Linked DNA regions of Canis lupus familiaris. The protein of the gene in region 3 interacts with the protein of the main gene of each other region in a pairwise test. Links are inferred from orthologs where the notes say so. Each region holds a gene or a part of one and is shown on either strand. Other genes may lie near its edges. The genes, in order: CNOT4, CNOT11 and CNOT1.

What was found.
Region 1: the proteins of CNOT1 (region 3) and CNOT4 interact in a two-hybrid assay, tested with the Homo sapiens proteins (3 studies listed by BioGRID and IntAct, with this or other methods). The link is inferred for Canis lupus familiaris from reciprocal best matches to the Homo sapiens genes CNOT1 and CNOT4.
Region 2: the proteins of CNOT1 (region 3) and CNOT11 interact in binary tests that used the Homo sapiens proteins (3 or more experiments, as listed by UniProt). The link is inferred for Canis lupus familiaris from reciprocal best matches to the Homo sapiens genes CNOT1 and CNOT11.

The regions. Positions count from the first base shown.
Region 1 is NC_049237.1:12,484,239-12,494,697, reverse strand, and holds part of CNOT4 (CCR4-NOT transcription complex subunit 4), read right to left. Parts: intron 8,998-10,459; coding exon 8,940-8,997; intron 7,374-8,939; coding exon 7,124-7,373; intron 6,160-7,123; coding exon 5,662-6,159; intron 730-5,661; coding exon of another isoform or gene 629-729; exon of another isoform or gene 1-628. UniProt on the Homo sapiens protein: Has E3 ubiquitin ligase activity, promoting ubiquitination and degradation of target proteins. Involved in activation of the JAK/STAT pathway. Catalyzes ubiquitination of methylated RBM15.
Region 2 is NC_049231.1:42,708,080-42,718,538, forward strand, and holds part of CNOT11 (CCR4-NOT transcription complex subunit 11), read right to left. Parts: intron 5,152-10,459; coding exon 4,999-5,151; intron 3,430-4,998; coding exon 3,227-3,429; intron 2,371-3,226; coding exon 2,168-2,370; intron 839-2,167; coding exon 742-838; intron 655-741; coding exon 457-654; 3' UTR 1-456. UniProt on the Homo sapiens protein: Component of the CCR4-NOT complex which is one of the major cellular mRNA deadenylases and is linked to various cellular processes including bulk mRNA degradation, miRNA-mediated repression, translational repression during translational initiation and general transcription regulation.
Region 3 is NC_049223.1:57,304,598-57,315,705, forward strand, and holds the start of CNOT1 (CCR4-NOT transcription complex subunit 1), read left to right. Parts: upstream 1-3,633; 5' UTR 3,634-3,782; exon of another isoform or gene 3,783-3,825; intron 3,826-11,108.

The DNA.
Region 1 (10,459 bases), on a different chromosome or scaffold from region 3:
TTAACAACCATTCAAAAGAAAGTGCAAATGTGCAAATGAGAGACAACAAAAACAGTTTCTAAACATGTAATGCATTAATATAGGATATAAATCCATACAACTAAAAATAATTGCTGACAACATCCTTCTGAGCATTAAACAACACCACCAATTTTGTTTTATATGTTTTCTTTCTTCTCAAGTACTCAAAGAAATGCAATAGACATTATCTTAATTTTCAAATTTTTCATGAGTATATTAGGATATTACCATTTTTTTTCACAAATCAGAAAACAAGGAACTACCATTATCTTTGCATAATTTCAATAATAGAGCCAAAATAAGAACAATTCTAGCTAATCTCATCTGGGATCTTAATTAGTACTACAAGTTTATTTGTGTGAGTTAAAAATAGTATCACTCATGAGAAACAATGCCAAAATTATTATGCTAATAAATAGTGTTAAAGGCCTAATGAAGAAATACTTTAGCAACTACGAGGTAACACACTAGTTGTAGGCATGAGGAACGTTTATATTGGCTCTTTTGGGTGTATACATTAAATGCAAAATCAGAAAGGAATCATGCAAAAAATCCGGTTGCCCATGCAAGCACCCCAGAGTCTAATCCTCTCCTCTCAGTTCTGTTGTCAGGCCACAGTAGTGTGGAGACTTGTAGGCTGCTGTCCTTGTTGTAATGAATGGGAAGAGGCTGACAGTGGCATGGTCGAAACCTTCACCTCTTCTTCCCCTGTGGAAAAGTCAGTCATGGTCTAGTTATGGGTGACTAGATTTGTTAACAGTCCCTTTAAAAATGATTTCAATATTTGGAATACTGATACATATATAAAATACATGCTTAATGGCTGGAATCCGGGTGTGAAACAAGACATGAATTTTAAAATATAAACTTATCAAGTACCTACAAAGTAGTTACACTATAAACACACCCTTCAATTTAATACTATGTCAGATATAAGAACAAATATAATAGATTTTAGATTTTTATTTTATAAATAAAAGAAAAGAAAAAAAAAAAAAGAGAGACCAGGAAAGCCATTCTTTTCCAAGTCAATTGGACCCCTTTTCACTTCAGATACTTCTCTAACAGTATTTTGGGAAAAAAATTAAAAATAAGTTCACAGGTGTGAAAACATGCTTTTAAAAGGAAAAATGACAAATCCGTGTTTTAAAATCAGAAATTATATTTATAAAAAATAACAATATAAATATTAATTTACCATATAGCATCTGGAAATTCACTGTGTACTTCTGAAGGGATCAAAGGAGTAAAATGATCCAATTGACTGAAAGCGAGATGACTACTTCTAGGTCAGAGAACTATACATGAAAGGAGGTCAGGTCTAATTATAATCAATAATTACTGGACTATAAGTGACTTGTTTCACACATGACTCAAAATCCATTCAAGTCACTGTTAGAATAGCTAATTCAGTAATAAAATTTAAAGAAAAATGTCCTTTCATGAAAACACGAAAAAAATCCAATCCTAAACAGTTTCAAATATTTTTCTAAGCATATCTTAAAACAACAATGCTTACAGACTGAGACTATTATTTGTTTTCCAAATAATTTTTAGTGTTATGGAATAAAAACATCTTGGCAGAGTCCTTTGAAAAATAAATTTGCAAAATTACATTTGGAAATATTTAACTGACAATATGAAGAAAGACTCTCAGCCTTTAGAACAGGTTATTTCATAATTTTCAGTAAATTGGCCAAGATTCTATAAACTCCAAGTACACAGCAAGGAGGCTGTGTAGAAAAAACTTTACATAGGGTTTCTGGTGAGAACATGATACTAATAAGGACTACGCAAGACATTCATTTTTTTTCAAGTTGATAAACTTCATTCTATTTTGTAAGCTATAGGCCATACCCCTGAGCTGGGCCAATTGTCTCAGGAATATATACTAATGATGAAAAGGAATCTGCAAGGGTGTGAGAGCAACAATCAATTACTATAGGAAGAAAGCCAAGTTAAAGTACAAGCCAGTGATCTTCATTTGTGAAGGTGAACATCAATGTTGGAGTGGAAAAACATTTCATTTTGAATGTGGGATCTGGGTGGTACTACTACTACTACTACTAATTGAATGTTTGATTTTTAATAAATTATTTAACCTGGAACATAGATTTGCTATTTCTAAAAGAAGGAGCTGAACAAGATAAGTCACTTTTTAGGAAAAGTCACTTCTTAAACAAAAACAAACACATGGTTCCAATAATAAAAAATATCTGAAGGGACCTACTATAATTTTCCACTAATCAAAGGTTTCCCTCAAGAATATTTATTTCAAAAATCCTTCTACGGTTAGCAAACTGGATGTGCAGCCAAGAAAATGATAGTAAAAAGATTTTGCCAAATTAAGGAAATAACTAATCTTAAGCAAAAAAAAAAAAAAAAAAAAGTTTTCATGTAGGCATAAGAAATGGAAGCCGCATTTCTGTCAAACTTCTGGCAACTGTCCTTCCCATGATAGGTTTCAGATATAACAATTTTTAATAATCTAACTGAAACAAACCAACACTAAAAGTTTAAATACAAATATATAATAAATATAGACATGGTATCTGTAAGATATATAGGTGAGTGACACCTGAGTTATTTGTTCTTAAAGGTCAGGGACCCTGTTTTGCTCTACGTATCTAAAGAATAAATAAATATACATGCCTTTTCCAGTCTAAGCATATCTTAAAGTGGCAGGTATCATAGAAACAGTAGGTACTCTCCGTTAATGAAGCACTTCACCAACAGCTCCCCTGGTAAGATACCATGATATTCATTGCAGGGTACAAAGTTGAACCTACTTCAATAGTTCAACCCAAGTACAAATGATTTATAATTAGGGGTGGGGGAGGCAGATATTGCCTAGGTATTAAATTGCTTCATATTAGACACAGTTAAAATATACATAGTTTTCCAGAATTTCACTTTCTGTCATTTCTAATTATTACTGAAAGTCCCAAATGATCTGGCTATAATTATATAACTATTCTGTTTTGAGACTTAGCACATTCAGCTTCCTGAGATATCTCCCTAATATTTATAGGACATGAGAGTATTCTAACTCTTAACAATTTTAAATCTTTTGGTGCATTAAAACTAAAATTTCTCATCAGAGACTTAAAAGTAACCTAATAATAAGCTTATTCATAAGTCACCATTTAAATATCAAACAAGTATGCACAGACAAAAACAGAAAATCTGAAATAACAAACTCTCCCAACCTCCCAGAAAATATGACAATGATTCAGGACCTACAAGTTGGTAACTTCATTCTTAGAATTTCTGGGGAAAAAAAGTATTTTATGTTCTATAGTTGAGTATATTTTAAAAGGAAAACCCACAGAATAATACCATAATTTAATGCCACATTTTTTTTATAAAGTATCTAGTTTAGATGAAGATTTCAAATGACTAACATGAGGACAACTATACTCACAAATCAGTAATTATTCATGACCACTGTGGCGTTTTCACAATATATACTGGTTTGAAATATTTGGGTTAAAATTATTCTTTTTGTGCTAATGGACAATATGGTAACTGTGAAATCAGAAGAACGGATAACTTACTGAAGATAGTCATGTAGTAAGTCAAATAAAAGTATACAATGAAGATAGCTAAGAACTATCATCCCCCAAAGGCACCCTTCTTCCTAACATATCAAGTCCATACTATGTTGCCTTGCTGTCAGAGTTCCCCAAGTTCTCATCCATTCTATTTATACATGAAGCACCTCCCATTACTGAAGGCAGTTTTATTGCTTCTTAATGAAATGACATACTAATTCCTGTCTTCACATCTTTATTCAGGAGTTCCCATCAGTATAAAAGGTCTCTCTTTTCCCCACTAACCCAAATCCAAGATACCACAGTACAGATCAATTCCTACTTCAATGAAGCCTTCCCAACAATTATAGCCTCATCTGATAATCTCTCAGATTCCAGTTATCATACAGTTACCACTCTCATACATAATATTATTTCTTCAACTACACTGCAAAATTCCTGGAAATAGTATCCATATTTTATAGTTCTTTTATATTAACCACATGGCCTAGTTCATTGTTGGGCAAACAAGAACCCAAATATTCACTGTAATTGGTTTAATATTTTATTTTTGAATGTTTAGGATATTTAGGGGAACTTTAACTCTTAATGTTGTTACTGGTCATGAAATACACTACTAGTCATTAAAATGCCACATTTCTAAATGATTAAAGCAAAACAAAACAAAATTACACTCTAACATGCTGTCGTGAATGGAAGATTAAAAAAGCAGTATCAGGAACTCAATACTTAAGTGTTTCACAAGTGAGTATCACATTAGAAGGAGAAGACTGAAAAATGTCACTCTGAATTACCTACTAACTACCATAATCAAATGAACAAATATCATGAATCCCACTGAAAGATGAACCAATAGATTGGTGCTATCATATTTATATAAAGTAACTTCACTTTATCAACTGTAAACTTCACTGTATCAAAAGCCACAAACCATATTCCCTTAACCCATCTACTTGTCTTGAAAATGAAATGTGGTTGATCACAAAAAGAACAGAGTCAAAGAACTCTGATGGATCTCTCCAAATTCACCTATCAATCTTACTAAAAACAAGAGAACAAACAACCTGCTGGTAACAGCACATTATTACAGTAAGACTGTGCCATGCCATATCTTAAAGGCCATGACAAGGGATAACAAATAATTTTATGAGTTATGTAACATTGTGAGGGACTATTCTATTCTACTTGAGAATCAGAAGAGAGAGAAATTCTCTTTTACTAGTCATCTATTTCTAAAGCCCAAATTAAATAAATTTGAAAAAAAAATAAAATTAACAAGAAGGATTTCTTTAGATACAGAAGTCACTTGATCTAATAAATGTTATATGGGACCTTAAAACCCAAAAGTTCTGAAACCTTCAAGGGTAGCAGTACAAAACCAGAAGTATTCTGGTATCACTCTTAAAGAACCTAACATTTTCCATAGAAATAAAAACATGACAGACCAAAAGGGAAAGTATCTTTCCTTAAACAACTGCTTTTTCACAGAAAGTATACACGTTATCTGTGAAACATTAATAAACAGAGTTCTCAAATATTAAGTACTTTATTAACATATAGCCCAGTTTACGTGTGTGTGTGTGTGTGTTTGCGCATGTGTATCAGTCAGATACACTTATACTTTTGTATAAGTAATTGCCAAAAGTAGTCAAAGAGTGGCTTTGTCCCTCATGCTCTCACTAAGTACCATCTCAAAAAAATTTTTTTGAATCAGTTTACTTTTAGAATGTATAATCAGAATTTGTACCATGGTGTTGGACTTTCCAGCACCATGATTTCAGAGCCCATTTTTTTCTTTTTCTTTGTGCATTTATATTCCATATGAAAGTATGGTAACTACCCTGTTAAATAAAATGCTTCCAGGTTATAATTAGGTATAATACTCCACCATCCTTATAAAGCTCAATATTACAAGGCATCCATCCAATTAAAAATTTTTTAGATGATGATAAGGACTTTTTTTTCCCCATAGAAATTTCCAAGAATAATAAGTACTCTCTGTTATTCAAAAATTCCCTTCCTTCCCACCCAACAACCTGAAGGCATGAGTTATTCACAAATTCTCAAAGGCTATAAATGAACCTACCTGCTATAGGGATCCCTCCCAGACCTGTGTTGTGCTGTGGCGGGAGATTCAAGTCCAAGAAATTACTATTTGAGGTGGGGTTTGCTGTGTGGTTCAAGTGCATGATGCTATTGCGTGGAAAGGCCATCCAAGGATAGCGGGCTGCCTGGCCTGGAAAACTGAATGAATTATAAACTGCTCGGTGCTGCTGAAATTGAGGGAACCTCTGTGGCAAGACTGAAAAGGTACTATTGAGAGAGTTGGCATTTGTCGGTGCAGCAGGATGCAGGAATCCAGAGCCCGGACCTTTGGCGGTTGTAGTGTGTGAAGAGGAGTTCTGAAGAGATGTGGGCGAGAGGGAAGGCTGGTCTTGGACTGACAGTTCCTTTTCAATCAGGTCTGCTAAGGCTTTTCGAGTGACATCAAAGGGGTCAAAACCCAAGTCATCCTCTGGTTGTTTAGAAGAACCAAAGCCAAATGCTGCTTGCCAGTCTGTAGAGGATGATACTGGGATTGTTTCTGTTGGGAACACAATTGGTAATAAATTGAAAATACGCAGTTCACTTGTACACTTCAGGAAAGTTATACTAGTGAAAGTTAAACACATCGTATTACAAGATAAAGGCAAATATATCCAAAGGCTGTATGCCTTCTTAGCACATTATCATATTATAAAAGGTCTCATATACTTCTACCAATGATTGCATTCTTAAGTTACCAATAAAAAATGAATGATACAGATTTTGGTAATTGAAGAAAACAAAATACTTGAAACCCAAATTATACCTTCAGCTATTCACAACCAAAACATGGAAGAAGTCATTTCAATGAAATAAGGTATTACATGATTGTAAGAGAATTCAATTAGTAAAGTCTATTTTTAGACTTTATCAAAATGTATTTATCAAAGGCAAAGTCTAAGTGATTTTGAATATTTGCTTTATATACTACCAGGAAAAAAATAAAGTAACTTAATGAAAAAAATATCTACTTAAACTTTATGTATTTTTTAAAATTGTCTGCTCCACTGATAATAGGTGTTATATTTTCAATGTTAATTCTATGCCATCCTTCACATCAATAAGAAAACTTATAATGAATAAAAATGAAAATGGCTCAAAAATGTCAAAATGTAACTTTCAATATTAAGTAACATACCTCTTTGTCGGCTGGAGAAAAAAAATCTTAAATTTAACTATATAAACACAAATAAGGTTAAAAATGTAAGCCCTTAATAATTCCTAGAGGAATAAGCATTTTATTATCAGAAAAATGATCTAACCCGTGATTTCTAGAGAAATCTGTCAACACAGTAAGTCCTAGGTCACACAATTTACTTATTATCCTATTCCAATGCAGTTTAAATGTTTACAACTTTATGAAAAAGGGAGTAGAGGTGGCTTAAAGGAGTAAAAACACATCCTGCAAGGTCTCATTTCAACCTGAGTGAAATTATTAACATGCAGTTAGTATCGTTGTATACCTGATGTGAAGAGACTCTGTGGCTCTGGTGCTGTAGGCCAGTCACTAGATGTCTGTGGGGAGCTGGGGAAAGGAGGAAGCCCACTTGGGATCGGGTTGGGATGGCGAAAATTATCTGAGAATAACGACTGTGACTCAGTTACTGCCCCTTCAAAAGGAGACCGTGCACTGTGATTGGATGAACTGATGGGGATGACTGGATTGGATTTTGATAAACCAGGTGGTGGTGAAGGCGTATCACTGTTAGATATCTAAATAAAATAGGAAAAGAAAAGAATAATCAATACAAGTTTATACACTTTAATAAGTCACCATTAAAAAGGCCTGCAATGAAAGGTATTAGAACAGTGGTTTCAAAGTGGGGTGCTTAAAGACTTTTTTACAAGAACATGAATTTTCAAAAAATCCATCAAGTACATATGTACTCTTTTCTAAAACTGACCCTCCTTGAAAAGACTAAGCCAGCCTCCTCTCCTTTCAGAAGCTATCTTCTCTCACTTTACAAAAAGAATATCGCTCACTCTTTGGGATCTAACTATAGTGTTTTGACCAAGAGCAAAAACTTTCTGGGAGCAACAGAAATAATATTAGAAATATTCAGACAGGTGATGAGAATGACTCATGACTAGATTCTGACCATATCAAAACAATGAATAAAAATTCAGAAGAAAGAAAGATCGGGGGCGGGAGGGGGGGTCGCCAGGATGGTGCAGTCACTTAAGCATCTGACTCTTGGTTTTGGCTCAGGTTATGATCTCAGGGTACTTAGATTGAGCCCTGTAGCAGGCTCTGTGCTCACCGAGGAGTCTGTTTAAGTTTCTCCCTCCCCTCTTCTCCTCTCCACTGTGCCTTTACTCTTTCTCTCAAATAAATAAATCCTTCTAAAAAATTTTAAAAAGAAGAAAGAAAATTGGCATTTAAAGCCTTGTGTCAGGAAAAAAAATATTGTTTCCAATTCAAAATACATGTCTATTTTTGAGAGAAGTATATGCCTGTCAAGAATTAACTATATTGTATTAAGATAAAATCCTGTGATGGCAGTAGAAATAGAAGAATGAGTTCAAGAAGAACATGGAATGATGTAAAATTTGAATGTTAAAAGAAAGCATGCAGTTTTTTTTTAAATGAATGATTTCTGATACCTAAATCTCTTACTTATTAAAAAGCAATATAGTGCTTTTATTTAAAAAATCAATATTTACCAATATCCTAAAAATTACATCCTTTACAACTATTTTTAACTTACTATAAAAAGAATCTTTAATACTAGCCTAAAATATACAAGGGATGTACAGATTTTCAAATTCTTTTATGGAACCTATGAGCAGAAATTCTGGAAAAGCAGTGCATTTTAGATCTCGAAATTTCTCATAAACATTGTGGGGAACTGGCCATTCTTTATGGAACAGATTAGAACTACATATTTTTTGTACCAATATAAGAAGGTGTACAGAAACTTATGCAGTGAAAAACTAGCAACTGGACAAGATGTTACAAAGCAGGATACAAGATCAGGACTTTACTCAGTATCAATGTGGATACAACTCTGCACTGAACTATTTGGTTTATTATCTCAAAGCCCATAGTCATTTGGGGAAAGGGAAAACTGTTGGGGCAAGAACATTGTGAGAAACAAAATTAAGGTTGACAAAAGGCAACATGGGGAGCATACAGCAGAGAAACAACTCTTAAAATCAAGACTGAAGAAGGCATTCAGTATTTAAAGTATTTTCCACTATCCAGAAAATTTACTTGCATAGAATGCCTTGTTTCAGGGAATGGAAGATAAATGAAATGATATAGAATCAAAATCTTACCTGCTGGGAATTATCACCATTCCCTATACTGAGAGAATCTGAAGGTTTGTCAATGGGGCTGTAAAAAAACAAAAAACAAAAAACACATCCAATAAAATCAGAGTAAAATAATTCTTACACACACACACACACAAACCCAAAAGCCAGAATAAATAGACATTTTATCATCCTAATATTTGTTGATGCACTGTGATGTAAAGATACTGGCTGAGATGTTGAGTATACAAAGAAATATAAGATCAAATCCCTACCCATGAACAACTTACAATTCTAATTAGATTCTCCAAAAACAATGGGTGAAACAATAACTTATAAAACAAAAAAGGTACTGCTTAAAATGAGTACTACTATAGTAGGTCAAAAATTTAATTCATTATTTCGTTTTGTGCACATGTTAAACACATTCCCCATTTAAATTCTTGAAATAATACTCCCTTATTTTTCCAGGTGTTTAACAGAAAGCATAAAAGTCACTCAAATGTTCTCCACATTTTCTTAAGAGCAATAAATTTCCTTTACTACTTCAATATTCTACTTACAACTCTAGAGAAGGCATATGTGTATAAATGCACACACACAAAACAGAAACTGTTGTGCAATCTACCCTTAAACAAAGACAAAAACCTGACTTCCATAGAGAAAATGCAGTACGATAGTAAAGTACAGTAAAGACTATACTATTTACAGTCACAGAATTGCTGACTTAAAAACAAAACAAAATGTTCACAAGCATTCTAACAGTGACCTAGTGAGGCATTTCCATAACTAACTTTATTTAACCTAGCACATGGATAAAAGGTTAAGTATTAGTACCCAAATACTAATACTGATTCTGATATAGTAGTATAGAAAAAACAAAATAAGATTCCAAATTTTGCAAAATTATTTTACTGGCTAGACATACATACTAAGTTACTAAGTTACCCTGACAGACAGACAACTTACTGACTGGTACCACGTTTAATTGCTCTAGAAAAATTTAACAAGAGCTAGTACCCAATCAGAATACCAAGTATATCTTCTGCATAAACATTACCAGATGCTCTTGACTCTTGACAGATAGGTCTGGAATTTTCTAAGTAGCATCTTTAGTTATTATTTTTACGTAGCAGCAATAAATCAATTCATTTTAAGTGAAATGGGTATTAGAAATCCTTTTAAGATTACAGCTTTGAACCCACTAAGTTTGGAGACACTTGGGAAAATGAGATAGGTACACACCCACAAATACCAACCAGTGTCAATTACTAAACGAATTGTTTAAACCATAAATATCAGAGGTCTTTAAAAGAAAGTTAAGTCACCAAAGTCACTATAAGTGAGGCAATTAAACATTTCCTAAGAGAGTTCAAATTTAAAGAAATCCTTAAAAAGATTTACATATTAAGAAAGGGAAGGGAAAAAGGAGGAAAGAACATTAAAGGAAGAGCAAGTGCATCACGCAGGCATCAAAAGGTCATAGACGGGTTTGGGAGAAAGTTAATTAATTAGTTAAGTAATTAGTTTAGCTAACAGAGGAT
Region 2 (10,459 bases), on a different chromosome or scaffold from region 3:
ATAAATGGGTTGAAGGACCAAACTTCTATTTGCCACTTGATTCCAAAACATTCAGCTGATTTCACCTCAAGGGCAGTATGACAAATTCTTAAGAATGTCTTCATTTACTTTCATTAAATACTTTAATATAAGAACCTTAAGAAAACTGGATTCTTGATTTATTGGTAGCCTATAACTTGTGTTTTAACATTGCTCTACAGTGCTAAAGACCTTATCTACTGTCTTGCAGGAATTTTTTGGATAACCTTTACTCCTAATCATCAGTAAGACACTTCCAAGTTCTTACCAAAAATCCATCTCCAGGAGTGAGTCATCCAGGAAAGGAAAATTTTGCTTTAAGTAGATAAAGTGGTGTTTATATGCATTAGGCCAAGCAATCCACTCAAGGTTCTAACAGTTTTTAAAAATTAAGTCACAATACAGCTGAACAAGGAACGTGGTGGTTCTGATGAGGTATTATTTTGACATTTTGGTCTCAGAAGGTGTTTCTCCAGTATCCAATGTCTTCAACAACCGGAAAAGGCCAGCAGCTTCTCGTATCCTACTGAATTCAATACAGAATGCCTGCACTTCTATAAACAAGTCCTGCACATTAATAATTTTGTTTCGGATCAAGGACTGGAGAAAGACACACACAAGACGAACCAAACGATTCTGAAAAAAAGAAAGCCAGTTTTAGTGTATCCATTTTCTTGGCAGGTATTTATAAAATTTACAATTACAAAAATTTCTGTTACTTACCTGCATGTATTTGTCCTTAATTTGTTCACAAGTAGAGATGCAATTTGATATATAAAGATGAATAAATTCAGGAGGTAGATCAACAGCAGTAGTTAGTCTGTTTCATAAAGTTAAAAAGTTAGGGCTGTTAAACACTGTTAATTATATTTTATGGTTACTTATTTCTAACTTAGGATCAGTTACCTAGTTGTAAACATATTTATGTAAATGAGCCTGAGCCATTCTGCTTGTTAATAAAGGGGATTTCCATTTTTAAGTCTATACTTAGCATTACACATGGTAATTACTCATTTTTTTAAAAACATTTCTGTGTGTCCTCGGTTGAATCATAATTCAGTTAATGGTCTTCAAGCTCTCATAAGTAACATTTACTAAACCCCGATTATGCCTAAGTGCTATACGCAAGATGGTATATCTGAGAAGGAGGTATAGTTTAGTAAGTAAATAGTACACTATATATAGCTAAATGGTAAAATGAGGGGTTTACAAGAAGCAGTATAAATGAAAATATGGGAAAAGCCTTGAACTGGAACCTAGAAGTGTTCCTTATAACCTAGTGGATGCTAGGAGGAAAAATCTTGGAATCTGGGATTAGTATGGTACATTTAGGAACCTGGTGATAGAGACCCAGACAGAAGGCATGGTGGCATATTAGAATCTTGTAAAGGAAAGCTGGTATTCTCCAAAGGATTCTGTGGGATAGGAATTCCATGTTCAGATAAAGGGATACTATGCTACCTATATAGTATGAATTTCCAAAAGAAATGTGACTGTAGAACCTTTTTCCATAAGGCACTGAGGAACTAGTGCTCCAAGGAATAGTGGTGTGGTCACTTGAGATGGGGGGTGGGGAGCATAAGCAGACTTTGTCCTTTAAATTATTCTCTAGAAACAATAATATTGATAAAAAAGATGTGGTTATTCTTGGACTAAATCTGGTGAAGACAATAATGCTGTTAAGAATGTAGTGAAGGGGGAAGAAGCAAGCACTCAGAGGTAGCTCAATCCAAGGACTGAACCGGAATGAAGACCCTGAAGGAAGTGGGTGGGAGTCTTCACCGAAGGGGAAAGGCTTGAGCAGAGAATGCATAAGTGAAGTATACTTTCAAAAAGCAGGTAACCAGTTTTGCCAGTGACAGAAAGTAAGGTTGAAAAGACCACTCTCCTGTACACATACTTGTGATCACCCAGCTTCCAGCCAGGCGAAGCCAGGCTTTTTCTCACTGGCTGGTAAGCTTAAATGGACATGGTCTTTAGCAAAATTTCAAGAAGGTTTAAAAAAAAAATCCCTGCCTTAAAGTCTGTTGCAAGTTTTTCCCTTCTGGCCAGTTAGCGTCTATATTATACCCCACATACACACACACACACACACACACACACACACACACACACACACACACACATCTGATTGAGTATAAACACTTACCGATTTACAACTTCCATTGAATGCAAGGACATGTCCATGTTGACCAGGACTGAAAAATACTCCGTGATCTGGCTTGACTGCATTAACTTCAGTAGCATTTCTATAGCAACTAGGGGGTTGTTTTCCACTAGGTCAGGAAGTTTGGCTGGAGTCAGGCCAATATGATAAACGAGTTTGGGGTCTTTTTCCAACTCACCCAGGAGCTAAATACAATCAAATTTTTAAAAAAAGAGGTTTTTGAGTCAAAAAAAATTGTCTGCATTGAACCAACTTCATAAATTTCTTCCTTCAAACCCATTATTATAATCATGTCTTGAACTGCAAAGACTATTTACAAATATGCTAATGATCTCTCCTCCTGGGCATTAAGCCAAACTTGGTATTGTCTGGTTGGATATAATGTCTGGATTATATAACAATATCATCCTTAACTCCTTTGTAGACCTTTTCTGTCCTCGGCTAGAACCAAAAAATAATTTAGTTGCCAACCAGCTCTCCAGAAAAGCACACACCACAGAGAACTGAGGAATAGGAGAAACAAGAGTACAGCCCCAGGTGGAGAACAAATGCTTGAGGAGAGAAGCAGGAAGGGAAGAGGGAGAGCTGCCCTGTTGCAGTCCCTCACTTTGCAGGATGATGCAGTTCAGGTCCTACTCAACTATGTAATTCAAATAGTTCTCTTCAAAAACATAAGTGCTTTTTCTTCAAAATTCTCCACACTTCCTCCCTACTGGCAAATACCACAGTGAACTGTTTCAGGAATGGCCTAGCAAACAAAGTGAACTACAAACACTGTAATCACAGGATCAAAAGTGAGATCTATCCTACCCCTCCTCTCCTAGAGTCAAAATCGTTCAAATAAGAGTTGATACATGTTGAATTATCAGTCTTTCCCCACCAGAGTAAAATGACTAGAACTGGAGAAGCAGAACAAAGATTCAGAGATCCAAGACTCCTTGGATGTAAAACCCTTCCTACTGCTGACTTCTGTTGACAGGGTCATTTAATTGGCCACTTAATGTGGAGGACTAAAGATAAGAAATGCTTATAAATAAATACCTGTGTTTGTTGAGGAGACGATAAGGGGCTTTTGAAGGCTTTGGCCATTATTCGCTTGATCTCCACACCAGTGCTATTCTTGACACACATTGATTTGTCCCATTGAATCGTATGGTCAGGCTCTGTTGGATTCAGCCAAGCCAGCTCATCCTCACAAATGTGGAGTGGAGGTGGTGGACGAATAAACTCTGGGCGGAAATGGCCTTTAATGAGAACAGGAATATTTGTTTCATTTAGTAAGCTAACATCTATACACATCTTTATAAAGGTAACATGATAAAACGCTCAAGACTTCAAAATCCAAGGCAGAGATGATTTAGAAATTCAGGGTTTTATTCAGAATACCAACAAAACGAAATATCAATAGAACATCATTATGCTAGACAGCAAATCTATTTTTCAAGAGAGAAAGGCACTACCATGATCTGGCAATTTTTAATTAAAGCATGATCACCACTCAGAAGCAAAGGATACAACTTCACATACTGGTAAAAGTTCTTATGGGAAAAATGAAATGCTATTTGATTCTGTTCATCCTACTCTTGGTTACCATTATTTTTATTCAGAGACCACTATTATTTGTAACTTTTTTCTTTGCATTTCATGAAATGGCAGGAAACAGAAAAGTATAGCTGCCTTTTGACATTTTCAAATGAATCCAGAGACTTTCATAAATCCCCTAATTCAAAAATCCTGTACTCCTGTTCATAAAACTATACAAGAAAATGCAGTGACTCAATACTTCAACTATTTTCTGAAACAGCATTGATTCCTAAGTTTAAAAACCCACTAAAATAAATACTGGCTGGGATTTTTATACCTCATTTTGGTTTCCACACAGGGCCCTAAGGTGGCCTATTCCAATCATGGATCCTAGCCCATGCCAAATTTGAGACTAGTTTATTGAGGTTTTCTAGCTAAGAATCATCAGTTTATCTTGAAATATCCTCTCTCTCATTTTTATCACCAGGACTAGCATCTCAATCTCTTTTCAGAGTATTTATAAAAAGATAAAAATTTTGACATTTTATGAGAAGTACTACTACTGTGATAAAGGAAACATTTCCGTGAAGTACAGATGCCTCATGTTAGCTAGATTCAGTATCTAATTGATTGGGGTTTTCACATACCTTTCTGGTGGCTCATGCAACAAAAGTTGTGCTTAAACAAATGTTAAATAAAAATCAGCATGTGCCATGGGCTTTCAGGCATACCTGTGACTGGATGAGACCTCAGTTATTAAGCCCATTTATGCCAAAGATGTGTTAATGGCATTAAAGTCATGTAAGTTTAAAATTCATGGTAACACTGTAATTTGGAGAACATTTTCCTTATTCTTAAGCATAAAGCATGCCTTCATCATTAAAACCACATAGAATACCATGAAACCAAAAGATGCAGCTATCGGATTTCATGTTCAGTAGGTGTTTTCTTTGAATTAAAGTAAATTAGGAACTATAATATTAGTAAAACTTTACAAGGGAGAAGGTAATGATAAGATTAATAAAGCACTAAAAAAGAAAAGGTAATACATTACAAGACTCCTTTTTGTAAAATCTATCTTCCAGAATGCTGCTGATAATAAAACATTTGGTATGTAATTTTATTACAGAAGAAACTAAACTGACCACCTCTACTCTGTTCTACTAGACGCTAGGAGGTTTTTCACTGAATTCAAGTCTAGGGAGCAACAAAAAATAACTGCTTTAGAAAACCAAGTCTCAGGGTATTGGTAAAATAAAACCCAAGTACATAAAATTGTATGTACCTACTTTCAATAGGCGGCTTTGGTCCACTGACTAAAGCTTCTGTGATTTGAGAGGCAACCGAGCTGTCAAATCCAGAATTTGAAGAATCTGGGTCCGGGTCACTGAGAATACTAGGGAAGCTAGCCTTACTTTGGGTTGGCAATTCAGACTGACGTTCTGAAAAAGGATAAAATAAGAGATATTTTTAAATTGAGGGTACCACAGGGCAAGAGAATAGACAAGCTACTAATTGGGAATATAAACAAAAGGCAAGATTCAATCTATGTTTTTGTATTGTCTTGTTTTTTTTTTTCCAAAAACTACAAATCAAGCAGCCAGCAGCAGCTATAGTCCGGCCTCTCAGCCAGCTGTGCTGGGGGCCACTCCTACCCCTTAGAGCACCCTGAGCCATTGCAGACCATTCACAACAAGAAGATACATACAGCCCACACAACAGATACCCCTACAGTGCCTGGTACTTGTGACCAAGGAGGATTGAGGTACTGGGCTCCTCAGGGCATTTTATTTTTTTCTTTTTTTAAAGATTTTTAAAATTTATTTATTCATGACAGACACAGAGAGAGAGGCAAAGACACATGCAGAGGGAGAAGCAGGCTCCATGCAGGGACTTGATCCCAGGTCTCCAGGATCAGGCCCTGGATTGAAGGCGGTGCTAAACTGCTGAGCCACCCGGGCTGCCCCTCAGGGCGTTTTCTATATAAGGCCACTATTTACAAGATGAGGAGACTTAACTGACATACCTACTACATAAAAACAAACAGACTCAGACAAAATGAGACAGAGGAATATGTTCTGAATAAAAAAACAACACAAAACCTCAAAAAAAGAACTAAGGGAAATGAGATAAGCAATCTACCTGATGAAGAGTTTGGGTAATGGTCATAAAGATCCTCACTAGAGAGAAAAGTGAATGAAGTCAGAACAGAGCTGGAGAATACAACTGAAATGAAAACTACACTAGAGAATCAACTGCAGATAAGCAGATAAAGACAGTATCAGTGATCTGGAAGACAGGGTAAAGGAAAGCACCCTAGCTGAGCAGCAAAAATATTAAAAAATTTTTAAATGAGGCTAGGTTAAAGAATTTCTTCTGTTCAAGTATAATGTTTGCATTATAGGGAAACTCAAAAGAAGAGGCAGAAAACATTTGAAGAAATAATCACTGAAAACTTCCCTAACCAGGGAAACAGCCAGGTACAGGAAGCAGATAGCCCCAAGAAGGTCCACATCAAGACACATAATTAAAATGTCAAAAATTGGGGCACCTGGGTGGCTCAGTGGTTGACTGTCTGCCTTTGGCTCAGGGTGTAATCCCGGGTCCTGGGATCGAGTCTCACACTGGGCTCCCCACAGGGGCCTGCTTCTACCTCTGCCTATGTCTCTACCTCTCTCCTGTGTCTCTCATGAATAAATAAATAAAATCTTTTAAAATAAATACAATGTTAAAAATTAAAGATAAAAGAGAATCTTAAAAGCAGTGAGAAAAGGCACATAGTTACACAGGAAACCCCATAAGGCTATCTGATGTTCTTTCAGCAGGAACAGCAGGTCAGAAGAAAGTGGCATGATCTATTCAAAGTGCTAGGAAAAAAACATGAGAGTGCTTGCCCCAGCAAGGTTATCACTCAGAACTGAAGGACAGAGTTTATCAGACAAACAAAAGTTAAAGGAGTTTACCACCACTAAACTAGCCTTACGAGGGGCAGCCTGGGTGGCTCGGCAGTTTAGCGCCTGCCTTCAGCTCAGGGTGTGATGCTGGGGACCTGGGATCGAGTCCCACGTCGGGCCCTGCATGGAGCCTGCTTCTCCCTCTGCCTGTGTCTCTGCCTCTCTCTGTGTGTCTCATGAATAAATAAATAAAATCTTAAAAAAAATAAAATGTGGAACACAGGGTGTCGGGTGGGGAAGTAAAAATACAGTGCTTTCAGAATGTGTTCAAACTTAACCATTACCTTAGACTGGTATATACAAAGAATATTATATACGAATATCAGTAACCACCAGTCAAAAACCTAGAATAGATTCAGAAAAAAGGAAAAGAATCCAAGCCTAACACTAAATAAAGTCATCAAACATAAGGGTAGAGAGCAAGGGAAGAACAGAGAACTGCAAAAACACCTGGAAACAACAAAATGGCAAAAAGTATGTATCAGTGAATATTTACTTTAAAAATAAATTAAGTGCCCATTTACTTTTAATTCAAAAGGTATAGGGTAACTGGGTAAAAAGACAACACCTATTTATATGCTTCCTACAAGAGACACAAACATCAAACCCAAAGACAGACTGAAAGTGAAGGTATCCCATGCAAATGGACGGGGGGAAAAAGTTGGGTGGCAAGACAAACTAGACCTAGAGCCTAAAACCAAGACCGAGCCTAGCTGGCTCAGTTGGTATTGGTAGATGGGACTCTTAATCTCAGGGTCGTGAGTTCAAGCCCCACACTGATTGGGCTTGGAACCTACTAAGTACATACATATATATATATACATAGGGGCACATGGGTGGCTCAGTTGGTTAAGTGTCGGACTTCAGCTCAGGTCATGATCCCAGGGTCCTGGGATAGAGCCCCATGGCAGGCTCTGCACTCAGCTGGGAATCTGCTTCTCCCCTCTTGCTTTCATACAGCAAAGGAAACCATTAACAAAATGAAAACATACTGAACGGGAGAAACTATTACAAATTCTGTATATGGTAAAAGGTTAATATCCAAAATAACTCCTACAACACCAAAAAAAAAAAGGATTTAAAAATGGGCAGAAAATCAGAACAGACAGTTCTCTAAAGATATACAGATGACCAACAGACACATGAAAACAGGGACGCCTGGGTGGCTCAACGGTTGAGCGTCTGCCTTCGGCTCAGGTTGTGATCCTGGGGGTCCTGGGATCAAGTCCCACATCAGGCTTCCTGCATGGAGCCTGCTTCTCCCTCTGCCGGTGTCTCTGCCTCTCTCTCTTTCTCTCATAAACAAAATCTTGGGGGGAAAAAAAAGCCTTAAAAAAAAAATGGACTGACTTCAACAACCATTTAATTTAAAAAAAAAAAAAAAAAAAAGGTTGAATGGCCAATAAACCTTTGAAAAGATGTTCAGGGCAGCCCCGGTGGTCCAGCGGTTTAGCGCCGCCTTCAGCCTGGGATGTGACCCTGGAGACCCTGGGATCGAGTCCCACATCAGGCTCCCTGCACGGAGCCTGCTTCCCCCCGCTGCCTGTGTCTCTGCCCCCTCCCCTCTCTGTCATGAATAAATAAAATCTTTAAAAAAAAAGTTCAACCTCACTGGTGGGGGTGTGGGGATCAGTCAAAACACAAGACACTATTACATACCCTTCAGACTGACAAAAATTAAGCCTGAAATCATCAGATGCAGAGAATGTCAGGTAATTTGCACACTGCTAATGGGAATGAAACATGGCACAGCAACTCTGGAAAACAATCTGCCACTAGCTAGTGAAGTTTTACATTTGCTTATCTCCCTAGAAAAAATATTTTCACATGTACTACCAGAATGAACATAGCAACATTATGTCCATTAATAGTAAAATGGGGGGGATCCCTGGGTGGCTCAGCGGTTTGGCGCCCGCTTTCGGCTCAGATCATGATCCTGGAGGCCCAGGATCGAGTCCCGCATCGGGCTCTCTGCATGGAGCCTGCTTCTCCCTCTGCCTGTATCTTTGCCTCTCTCTCTGTGTCTCTCATGAGTAAGTGAGTGAAGTCTTAAAAAAGAAAAAAAAAAGTAAAATGGATGGAGAACTTGATATTCCATTGTATGAATGTCACAACAGCAATGAAAATCAACCACTACAATTCATCAGTATGGATTCACTTTACAATTAACACCCAAAAGAACACAACATGTTTCCACATATATCTCAAGTTGAAGAACATCCAAAGTTAAACTACAGGCATATATAAAGGTGAGGGCGATAAAGTAAATCCTGATTATCACAAAAATGAGGTTAGTGATGGGGGAGAAGGGGAGCAGCTAGGAAGAGAAACACACAAGGAGACTCTAGGTCCTGAAACATATTTCTTAACCTAGATGATGCTGCTCCAGGGTCACTTTATAATTCCTTAATACATGCAGATTTTATGAAACTACATATTTCAGATTTTGTAATTTTTTTAAGATTGATTGATTTATGATAGAGAGAGAGAGGCAGAGACACAGGAGGAGGGAGAAGCAGGCTCCATGCCGGGAGCCCGACGTGAGACTCGATCCCGGGACTCCAGGATCGCGCCCTGGGCCAAAGGCAGGTGCTAAACTGCTGAGCCACGCAGGGATCCCCAGATTTTGTAATTTTTAAAAAAGATCTTATTTATTTATTTGTGAGAGACACAGAGAGAGACAGAGAGACATAGGCAGAGGGAGACAGATTTTGTAATTTTGAAAAGACAGGGCTAAATTCCTGATTCCTTAAAGAGCTATCAGTGTTAATAAAAAAAAAAACAAACAAACATGGATTCAGTGGGAAAACTGTCAGACATGAAAGATGCCTTGTATCTATAACATGTTCAACTTCATTCATTTAATAGGAAAAATTCTAACTAAAATCATCCCAAGATGCTGTTTTCTCCTATTGCTAGCTAAAGTACAGAAAATGAACATACTCTTGACAAAAATATAGGAAAAATGTTTAAATTGGCACAATGTGTAGTAAAATAACAAGTACAGGTTATCTGGAATTTTTAATAAAGCCTCTGAAATATTGACATTGTTAATAGGGTAAAAAAAAAATGCCCCTTGTAGTTACTTTTGTATAACTTGTCTGCTTGTTTATTTAAAGTTAAAAAAAATGCAACTGCATCCTCCATAAATACACCTCTGGTCCATAGATCCTACTGCAAGACATGAATTGCAGGCCTCTGCAAAGGTGAATTTGTGTGTAGCCAGCTCCAGAGAAGATAAGTGTAGCACTTTTTTTCCCCCTGATATTTGTAAAAATGCATGGATTAGGACATCTTCAATCTGGGTAGGAGACAGCAAGTTTAGCCATTTTGCCAAGCTTTCTCGAGACTAACTCTAGCATATATTCCTTTCTGGGCTTGATATACTTTAAAACTTTCTCACAGTCGAACTCAAGTCATCCGAAGTTGCAAGGGAGATCAGACCTGATTCTCACGTTATTGAATACAAAGCAAAAGCCCTCAGAATATATATATCCCTTCTGAAGGTAAAATGACTGAAACTGCCTGTCACACCTCTGTACCCAGCTCTCATACAATCTTTCAAGAAATAATCATATTTTATTTCCGTAAGTAGATTATATCTAGCACTAGTGAATTAGCATTTCTGCATACCTTCAACCTTAAAAGTCTTAAAAAGATTTCTCGATTTCAGAAAATAAACATTGTTCTAATGTGATACTCAGGAGTTAAAAAGTGAGGGTCGGAATGTTCCAAGGAAAAAGCAGTTTATTGAACGATGTCACCTTGTATAAGAAACCAAATGTCACAGACGCAT
Region 3 (11,108 bases):
TGGTTGGGCATCTGCCTTTGGCTCAGGTAATGATCCCAGGGTTCTGGGATCAAGCCCCAAGTTGGGCTCCCTGCTCACTGGGGTGTCTACTTCTCCTTCTGCCCCTATCCCTTGCTCTTGCTTTCTCTCCCTTTCTCAAATAAAGTCTTAAAAATAGAATTAAAAAAGGATCTGGGCTTATGGTCCAGCTTACAGGTAATCACTTCAAACAGTAGGTCTATAATCAGGGAGGACACAAAAAATTAGAGCAGAGTCACAGACTCTGTCCAGCTCAGAATTCTGTCAGTTGTCCTATGTTTCACTCATCTGTCTAGATCCCAGGCAGGCTTCCTAGATCTGCTCCAATTTGTTTGCAAGCATCCATTTAGATAGTTCTAAAGTACTTATGAACCAGAGGAGATGTGTGGCCTTTCCTTTTACTTCCTAGCTTCTTTCTTGTTTTCTCATGAAAAGAGACAGGGGGATAAATAACCTTAAGTCAGGAGCTCCTATACAGCCCTAGGACAAATTTCCTGTTAAGGAGAGGACCTAATAATTCAAATGTAACTTCAACTGGAAAACATCAAACACATAGCAGTATTTGAAGAACCCATTATTACTAACTCACAACACCCTGTCAGATGACATGTCACATTTTTTGTTGTTGCTGGGAAAGTAATCTGGTTTTTAATGGGCCACTGAATGTCACAGCTGGCAGGTTTCCTGGGCAGGGGTTTTTCCAAACTGCAGCTGAGAGTGTGGTGCCTGAGAATGTGAGCCTTGAAGTCTGACAGCTTGGGTTCCTACACTTGTTCTGCCAGGTATTTGACCTCGGATGAGTGACTCAACCTCTCTAAGCCTCTGTTTTATGATCTGTAAAATGGGGTAAATAACTCAGACTCTACCTCTTAGGGTCCTGACATGTGAATAAGATAAAGCAAGTAAAAGTGTACTTTTAGAATATATGGGTTGACTAAAGAAACCTGTGCATACATAAGAATTCCAGCACCCCACAGCAAATCCTTGGCTTCCTGGGAATCAACAGCCCACAATTTGGGAGCCATGTAATGTTTGTCCAATATCCTCAGAGTAGAGAAGAAGGGGAGAAAAAAGGCCCAGGGAGGGTACATGACCCTCCCAAGGTTACACAGAAAGTTGGGGGTACAGCCCGGTTTGGGACTTGGGTTTCAGAATATTTTTCTGTGAGTTTGCAATATGCCTCCCCAGACATCCTCCCTTTGGGGTAGAGCCACCAGAGTAATACCAAAGCATGTGTGCCTGGGGAGTCAGGAACTTTGTTACTAGGCAGTAGTGATGGGCTGGAAGGGTTAGGCTGTCAGGAAGTTGTTTGGACAGGGAGTTGTAAAGTAGTCAAAACTACTATAAATTGAATTTACTGAATCACTTGATAAATGGGACTGAAAAATAGGAGCATGAAATAATAAGGTTTGTACTCTGCTTACCCTTCTTTCAAGCATTTCAAAAGTAATACAGTTCACACGGGTCTTAAAGTCTCAAAGTCCTTCCTCTTCTGAGTAAATTTGCATCCACTGACTGCAACCCAATTCCATAAGGTTTTTTTTTTTTTTTTTTTTTTCCATAAGGTTTTTGTTTCCTAACTGGTAGGTTTTCTCCTCCATGCTGTTTTGGGAAACAAGAGTTTGTAAAGTGTTTCCAGAGCCTGGGATGCACAATTAACTGGAGGGTGAAGGACTGGAAGATGAAGGCTGAGGAGAGGCCAGGTGAGTAATTAACAGCTGGCTGAAATATCCTGTTTCCAAATACCTTTGAACCCCAGGACACATAATTGCTGAGTTATTTAAGGTGATTCAGTGAATCCTTTGTGAAGGTCTCTAGTAAAATAGTTTGGGCATGATTTCCTACTATGTCTTTCAGTAAAATGAAAAAGGTACATCACATGATCTCCATTACTTCTTAGTTTGTGAACATTCTATAAGTCTCTTTGCTTTCGAGTAGGGACAGAAGCCACCCAGAATTCTTGACAACATACAGTTGAAGAACTTTGATCTCCAGGCTACTGTGTGAATCCTACAGCTACTTGGCTAAGTCCCCAAGGCAAGTCAAATTCTAGGAGTGGCATTGATGTCGTTTTAGGGGAGGGACTGTCGGTGGGTTAAGAATGTCCTGGAACAGCCTCAATATAAAGTAGCAAACCATTTTCTGGCAAAGACAGACTGAAGTGGGGAAAGGCAACTCAGTTTTATTTCAACTTATTTTAGGAGATCTATGTTTGAGGCCTGAACTAGTTGTAGAATTTCAGAGTTGACTTCAGATAGTTGACCTTTATGGGTCTCACTTTGTCTCTTTTAAAAATTTAAAAAGAGACGCCTGGGTGGCTCAGTGTTTGAGCATCCGCCTTTGGCTCAGGGCGTGATCCCGGGGTCCTGGATCAGCTTCTCCTTCTGTTTCTCCCTCTGCTGCTCATCCCGTCTGTGGTCGCTCACTGTGATGCTCTCTCTCAGATAAATAAATATCTTAAAATAAAGTATTTTTAGACACAAAAGGTAGCATGAGACAGATGGTTGGGAGACAAGCCACTGAGTCTAGCCCAGGATGCAGGATGGAGTGATGAGGAGGGTCTTTTTTTTTTTTTTTTCCCCCAAAAGGTAGAAAAACCAAGCAGTCATCACTTCCTTCCCCGTCCTCCCACCTTTGTGTGGGAACAGGTGACCATAAAATCTTACAATCCGATATAGGTAAATCGCAGCAAAGGTATGTTTCTATGCTTTTTCTAATGAGAGCCTTTCTGATACCTCTCTGATAGGTATCCTGATACTGCTAATAGGGCTAAGTCAAAAAGAGAATCTTAGCTTCCCATCTTTCTGTAAGGGGTCCCTTCTTCAATAGGCAGGACTAGATAAGGAGAAAGTTCTGATAAACGTGTGGCAAACTAGGACCAGGTAGGAGACTACATTCCCCAGCATGCAATGCACCCTTAGGACGCAGTCCGTGGCGGAAGAAGACGCGATACTTCAGCGTCAAGGATGGCGCGCGGGGCAGAGGGACGACTACACGTCCCAGAACGCAGAGCCCCCCCCGCCCCACCCCCCGCCCGTAGTTATAGCCTGGCTCCTGGCTTGTTTTCCGGTAACTGGCGTTCTTACCAAAGGGACGCCAGGGGAGGGGGGTGCAGCCCCGCTGTATACCGGACCCGGCACTTCGAAAGGGGTTAGGAGAGTCGGGAAAAGTGTCTAACGCTCATTCAAAGTACTTCCCGCGCGGGGTGGCGAGGGTTTATGGGGCCCCTCCCATATTTATTGTTTCTCAGAGGCACTGCCAGGCTCCGATTGGTCGAAGACCTCGAGGGCCGGTGGGAAGTCCGTGAAGCCCCAAATCGAAGTTGTCTGCGTCTCCCCATTGGTCTTCCTCTCGAGCGCAGGCGCGAGGGCCCCGACTCCCGTCCCCAGGGACGGGGAAGCGGCAATTGGCCCGAGCCCGCGAAGTAGGAGTCCGGATTGGTAGTTGCTAGCAGGAGCCTGGTTTCTTCCTTGACTTCTGCAAGTGATAGTGTATGATTGGTTTAAATCCGCGGGCACCTGACGGTGATTGGGCGGGAGCCCCGGGCTGGGGCCCATCATTGGCTGGTGCCGGGGCCGTCCCTCCTCGGGCGGGCAGCGAATGATGAAATGGGAACGGGGAGGGGAAAGGCCGCGACGTGAGCGCGCGACCTCCGGCGCCATTTTGTAGAGAAACAAGCGGAGTTAACCGAAGAGGGGGTCGACGAGAGCCGGAGACGGGGACTCAGGAGTTTCCTGTGTCCAGCGCTGCCGGAGCCGCCTGAGGTGAGGCGGGCCGGGGTCGGCGGCTGCAGCCGGCTGGCGGTGTCAGCGTCGGGGCGCGAGCGCCCCTGGGCGAAGGGACGGGGGCGGTCCAGGGGCCATTGGGAGCGTTTCCCGGAGCTCCGCGGGCTGAGGGGCAGTCGGGACCGGGAAGTGGGGAGGCGGGAGACGGCGGGCTCTTTCCACGGCTGGCGGAGCCTTCGGGCTCTGAAGAGAGGAGGCTGGGGCGGAGGCTTCAGCGAGCGGAGCGCAGAGCGCGGGGTGAGCCCCGCGGCGGTCGGCGGCAGGCGGCAGGGCCTGGGGGCCGCGGGGGCGGCCGGGGGGGCGGCTGGGCCGCGCTGGGCGCCCGCTGCACCCTCGTCGGACCCCACGAGCTCCTCAACTGCCCCTTTCTCTGCGGGCTTCCGGAGGGGTGCAGCGGGCTCCGGCCCCCGAGGCCTAGTTCCCGAGGCGAGGGTCCGTGGCTGGAGTGGCTGCAGGCGCCTGGGTCTTTCTGGGGGATGCGGAGCCGGCCGCCCGCTCCCTGCGCCCCCAGCACGTTGTCACCCCCCGGGTGTTTCGGTGCCCGCCGGTGCGAGGGGCGGGCGGGAGCCAGCACTTCCTCATTACTTCTGGCCACAGGTTTTGTTCCAGTCGCGCGCCGGGGCGCTCCGACTTCTCTCCGAAGTCGCCCACTCGGGCCGGTGAGTCTGAGCTGTAGAGGCGGCTCGGCCCCCCCCCCCCCCCCAAGTGTCCCCCCAGTGAGCGGAGCGCTTGTAGGCCTGGGCGCTGGGGAGAGACTTCCTTCCTGCACCTCTAGCAGAGAGGTTGCTTGAGGCCAAACACAAAATAACTCATTCGGTACCAGTTCCTCTGCAAAACTTGCCCAGCTAGCCTCACACAGATCATTATCCCCGCTAGGAGTGAGGTTTGTAGCTTAAAAAAAAGAAAGAAAATGTCTGATACCTGTGGGTTTGGAAATGCTGTGTTTAAAGTAAACTTTGAGAAGTAGGCTTTCCCCCCCCCCCCCCGAAGCCACCCAATCAAATGTCCCATTGCTTAGGACTCTAATAAAAAAAGTGTTTTCTTCCTGTAAGCAGAGTAACGATGCTTCTTTCCCCTTTTCTCTGTAATTCTGTTGCCTTGGAAGATTTAACAGCCAGTAATTTGAATAAACTATAATTGAGTATTTGGGGGGTAAAAAATTCTGATCATGGCCCTCGTGACAATCCGTTTGATAGGAATAAGGATACATATATGAAAAAAGGGGAGGACAAGGAAAAAATTAGAAAGGTCAAACATTTAGAGCAAGCCTGTTTTTGTTGGGGTATTTGGGTTTAATATGTTAGTAATGTGTGGCTCAGGTTGACTTTATCCTTCTAAAGCTGGGCAGCGTGGTATTTTTGCTATTAATATATATGGTAACAGTTTAAGTAGTCTTGTTTTGGGACACTGCAAATTGTTACCTTGTCTTAGCAGAAAATGAGCCGATGATACATAAAGTTTTAGGCATCCAGTTTTACTTTAAAATGGTAGTATGTTGATAAAACCTGTTGAGAGGGTTGGTCCCTTTTCAACAAGTGTTGGTCCCAAGACCTTTATTGGAAACTTAACTCTAGAATCAAGGAACAAAGACTGGACCATTAATAACTGACAGCGTTTCCCTTTCTTGCTTAAGATATAACCTTAGAGGTTTTAAAGCAGGGTTTTGTGGCATCTTGGTGGGACTGAAATGCTTTTGGTTCCTAAGTCAAATATATTAGTTTCTGGCTTAGTTTTTTTCCTCTAATCTCTAAATTTCTACTAGGCTTGTTTAAATCCCACTCTCTTCAAAATGGAATCTTGTCAGGCTAAGTACTGTGACGTTTTAACTTTGGGTTATGTCGTTTAGAAACAAACTGTATAACTGTATGAACACAAGAGGAAATGCTGTCTGTTCAAGACCCTGCTTAAAGACTGATCTCATCATTGCATGTTGCTTTCTCTAAGCATGTTTTTTGTTAGATTCTGATACGTAGTTATGAAAAACTTTTTGAGCAGCCTGAGTTGATGAACTTGAATTTTTTTTTTCATTCCATGAGGTAACAAAATTTTGGGCATTCAGTGCGTGGAAGGGAATTTGTCCATAATTCTAATTAAATGCTCACACATTCTTCTTTTTTCTTCTTTCTTCTTCTTAGATTTTATTTATTTATTCACGAGAGACACAGAGAGAGAGGCAGAGACACAGGCAGAGGGAGAGCAGGCTTCATGCAGGGAGCCCGATGTGGGACTCCATCCCAGGATTCCAGGATCACGCACGCCCTGAGCCAAAGGCTGGAGTCCAACCGCTGAGCCACCCAGGGATCCCCTCACACATTCTTTAAGGCACTAATTTTTGTTAAGATGTTTATGCTTCTGGAATGACCAAAAATAATAGCCTGCCATTTTGAAATGCTGTATTTTATGAACTTTGGTATACTTTATTAGTACAAAACTAACTTTCAGGTCATTTAAAAATATTAGCTGAAGCATTTTTAAATGGCCCTCTGACCAAACTGAACTTCCTGCTGGGACATTTCAAACTGGCATCCCACCGAGTCTTATTTTAAGACCTTATATATAGCAAAGTCCTACATTTCCTTTTCTGTTTGCTCACAATTTTTAAGAAGCATGTTTCAAAGCTAAAAGGGGCTCAAAACCCTTAGCACCCTATATATACACAATAGTTTAGCGTTGTTCTTTTTACTCTTATGTTTGTAAGACTGTAGCAAAGCAAATAAAACATTAATTGAAAAGCACCTTTAAGAAGTCAGTAATTAGAGGCGTAGACTTAATCTGAAACCTTGTGTTGAGATTTGAAGAAAGTACAGCTTTTGGAAGTGTAGACTGTTGATTTAAGAAATGGACTTCTGTCTTTAATGTTGGAAAGCTCAGCATAAACCTCCAGGATAAAATGTTTCGGTTAATTTTGTTAACAGTTGTTAGGAAATTCCTAAAATTGAATGAGATGTTAAATTGTCTGCCGGAGAAGTGTTTGTGTGTGTGTATGTTGTACTAATTATGTAAAATATAGAAGGGAATGAAAGCATATTTCAAAAGACATCATCTTCTGTTCTTTTTTTTTTTTTATCTTCTGTTCTTAATCCTCATTAAGAGCTCAGCATTTTCCCTTTCAGATAATTGAAATGCAGTGTTACTTTTAAATTTTTATTAGATTAATCCTAAGAATAGTTAACCCTTTGTTTCAGACTTTTTCTTTCTTTTTCTCTTCTCTACTCCCAGTGTGGGGCTTGAACTCATGACTCCACGATGGAGTCCCATGCTCTACTTACTGAGCCAGCCGGGCGCCCCCTGAAGCCCACCCTTGCCTTTTTGCAGTAGCTTGCTTTCTTTTTTCCTCAAGTTGACTTACACACTGAGCATGGAGCCCACCCCGGGCCCCAGACCCAGAAGTCATGACCTGAACTAAAATCAGAAGTTGCTGCCTGGGTGGCTCTGGTTGAGTGTCTGCCTTTGGCTCAGGGTGTGATCCCAGGGTCCTGGGATCGAGTTCCCTGTGAGGAGCCTGCTTCTTCCTCTGCCTGTGTCTCTGTCTCTCTCTCTCTCTCTCTCTCTCTGTGTCTCAAGGATAAAAAAAAAAAAAAAAATCTTAAAAAAAAAAAGTTGGCACTCAACTGACTGAGCAACCCAGGTACCCCTTTGCAGTAGCTTTCTAACTAATCTCCCGTATCTTCCCCATGATTTATTGATTGTGTTTTTTAATTACATAAGTAATATGTAAATACATTCCAAGTGTAAATAATTCCAGGAATATAATTAATTCTTTACTGCCAGATTGCCTCCTAAGTCACTGGTTTGAAAAATAGGCATTCTCTGCTCAAAAGTCCTTCAAATCCCTTGGCCTGGAGCTGTGTGTTGATCCTTTTCCTACCTGTGGCATCATATTACTATCTTGTAGTAGTCAAAAGACTGTTACATAGTGGTTCCTAAATATATCTTTATCCTTTATCTCTTTTATCTGGAAAGTCATTGTGTCTACCAAAACATCTATCATTCAAACTCAAATATACTGTCTATAGAAGTCTTTGCACTGATATTCCTAACAAGATTGGTTTCTTAAATACCTCTTGGTCAGTTTTGTTACATATAGCATATACTGTTTTGCCTTGTAAATTTTTTCTGCCTCATTGCCCTGAATTGTAATTGGATAATGCTTCATTTGTTCCACTAGGGTAGATGTATAGAGCCTTTTTCTTGGAACTATAAACTTATAATTCTGTTGACATCTTTTAGATGGTTACACTTTGAGAGCTAGTCATACAGAATTATGGTATCATTCTTTAGGAAATAGAAGCTGAGGAAAGTAAGGTGACTTTCTTAGTTTAAGGTCAGACAGACCAGGTTTTCCACTGTATTCTTTTTTTTAAGTTTTTATTTATTTATTCATGAGTGACACAGAGAGAGAGGGAGAGACAAAGGCAGAGGGAGAAGCAGGCTCCCTGCAGGAAGACGTGGGACTCAATCCCAGGACTCCAGGATCACGCCCTGGGCCAAAGGCAGATGCTCAACAGCTGAGCCACCCAGGTGTCCCTCCTACTGTATCCTGATGTTCATTCTGTCTTTCCATATTCTGCTTGAGTTCAGTACAAGGAAAAGAAAGATGTATGAATTTACTAATCAAAGAAGAGCATAGGGGCACCTGGGTGGCTCAGTCAGTTAAGTTTCAGACTTTTTTTTCCCCTTAAGATTTATTGATTTTAGAGAGAGAGTGTGCATGTATGAGCGGGGGAGGGGAAGCAGACTCCTGGCTTGAGTGCAGAGCTTGATGAGAGGCTTGATTTCATGATCCTGAGATCATGATTTGAGCCAAAATCAAGGGTATGTTCAACTGATTGAGCCACCCAAGTGCCCCAAGTATCTGGCTCTTGATCTCAGCTTAGGTCTTGATCTCAGGGGTGTGAATTCAGTCTCCCCGTTGGGCTCCATGCTGGGTGTGGAGCCTACTTAAAAAACAAAAAACCCATAATCTTTGTGGTTAACCATTTGTTTTTTTTTTTTTTTTTTTTAAAGATTTTTATTTATTTATTCATGAGAGACACAGAGAGAGAGAGAGAGAGGCAGAGACACAGGCAGAGGGAGAAGCAGGCTCCACACAGGGAGCCCGACATGGGACTCAATCCCGGGACTCCAGAATCACGCTCTGGTCTGAAGGCAGGTGCTAAACCACTGAGCCACCCAGGGATTCCCCAACCATTTGTTTTTTTGAAGGAGTTTGTCATTGTATAATTAAAATCTCTGGAGGTTGGTTTGGTAGTTCAGGATTTCACTTTCATTTAGTGGATTGGATTTTAGCACATCATGAATATCTATTAAAAATAGTTTTCTACAGAATTAAATTGTTTCTTGGGTAATTAATTACCTAGGGAGATTTTTTTCTTTACTTTACTTTTATTTTATTTTATTTTATTTTATTTTATTTTTATTTTATTTTATTTTATTTTATTTTTTATTTATTTATTTATGATAGTCACAGAGAGAGAGAGAGGCAAAGACATAGGCAGAGGGAGAAGCAGGCTCCATGCACCGGGAGCCTGATGTGGGATTCGATCCTGGGTCTCCAGGATCGCGCCCTGGGCCAAAGGCAGGCGCAAACCGCTGTGCCACCCAGGGATCCCTTTTCTTTACTTTTAATGAGTGTTTCTTCCTGTTTTATTGACATAATTGACACGCAGGACTGTATATGTTTCATATGTATAGAGTAATGACTTGACCTACCTTTATTGTGAGATACCTCCAATGTTCATTTGGAGAAGATTTTCTTAGTTGTGACTAAAGGAAACAAAATCCACCCCCCCACCCCCCCCGGAAATTTTTTGTAGGATAAGACATGAGATTTGAGTGTTTCTTCTCTTCACTGTGAAAATATAAAACTCTAAACTGACAAAAAGTCGACCTTTTCAGTTACAGTTATTGTGAGTGGTCATTAGTTAACCTTAGTGTAAATTAACTCGCACTTCTGTTAAGACCACCAAAGGATAGGAAAGGACTTAGGTTTTAAAATGTTCTTGAGCACTATAAATTGAATTCTGACAGATACAAGTAAGTTTTCTCTTGGTGTAGTTATATATGTGTGTGTGTGTGTGTGTGTATGACTTATTTATTAGAGAAAGTGTGTAGGGGGAACAGAGGGAGAGAGAGAGTCCCAAGCAGACTCCCCGCTGAGCAGGAAGCCAGGCTCTAGTCCAGTCCTACCTCCAATGAGACCAGGACCTGGACCAAAACCAAGAGTCAGATGCCCAACTGATTTAGCCCCCCAGGAATCCCTGGTGTAGTTTTAAGTAGCTCCAAGAAGGATACTCCGTTATCTTTTAGTAGTCAAGTATATTATATACTATGTAGCTTTATAATTTTGTAATTACTACTGGGTTGGTGCTTCTTAATATTCGGTTGATTTCGGATCAAGAACTTGATTCTTGGGATCCCTGGGTGGCGCAGCGGTTTGGCGCCTGCCTTTGGCCCAGGGCGCGATCCTGGAGACCCGGGATCGAATCCCACGTCGGGCTCCCAGTGCATGGAGCCTGCTTCTCCCTCTGCCTGTGTCTCTGCGCCTCTCTCTCTCTCTGTGGCTATCATAAATAAATAAAAAATTAAAAAAAAATATTAAAAAAAGAACTTGATTCTTTTTTGGTTTTGGAGTACTTTTCCTGGTTCACTTTCTGTTTTTAAGAAATAGGGATTTATTGGGGTTCTTGGTTGGCTCAGTCCATAGAGCATGGGTCTCTTGGTCTTGGTCATGAATTCAAGCCCCACGTTGGGTGTAGAGCTTACCTGAATAAATAAATATAGAAGTAAAATGGTTTATTTGCTAACACTAACAATATGTCATGCTGTGCTAATGTATGGATTCGATTAAGTCTTGTAAAATTCTGAAAGTATCTACAAAAGGCTATGAAAGGTTCTTTTTAACAGTATTAAGATTCTATTGATTCCAGTAAAATAGCTTATTTAAAGTGGCATGGTTAGAGGATGCGTGGGTGGGTCAGCAGTTGAGCATCTGCCTTTGGCTCAGGTCTTGATTCTGGGGTCTGGGAATCGATTCCTGCATCTGGCCTCCTTCGAGGAACCTGCTTCTCCCTCTGTGTCTCTGCCTCTTTCTCCGTTTCTCATGAATAAGAAAATGAGATCTTAAAAAAAAAAAGTGTCCTGGTTAGGAAGCAGTTGCAGCTCTTTCTCCATTTGTTATCTCATTTCTTTTTCTTTTTCTTTTTCTTTTTCTTTTTGTTTTTGTTATTTCAAATCTATTTACTACTTGGTGACCACTATGCTTTTGAATATTTCCATAACCCTTGTCAGCTTCAGCTCTGTTCT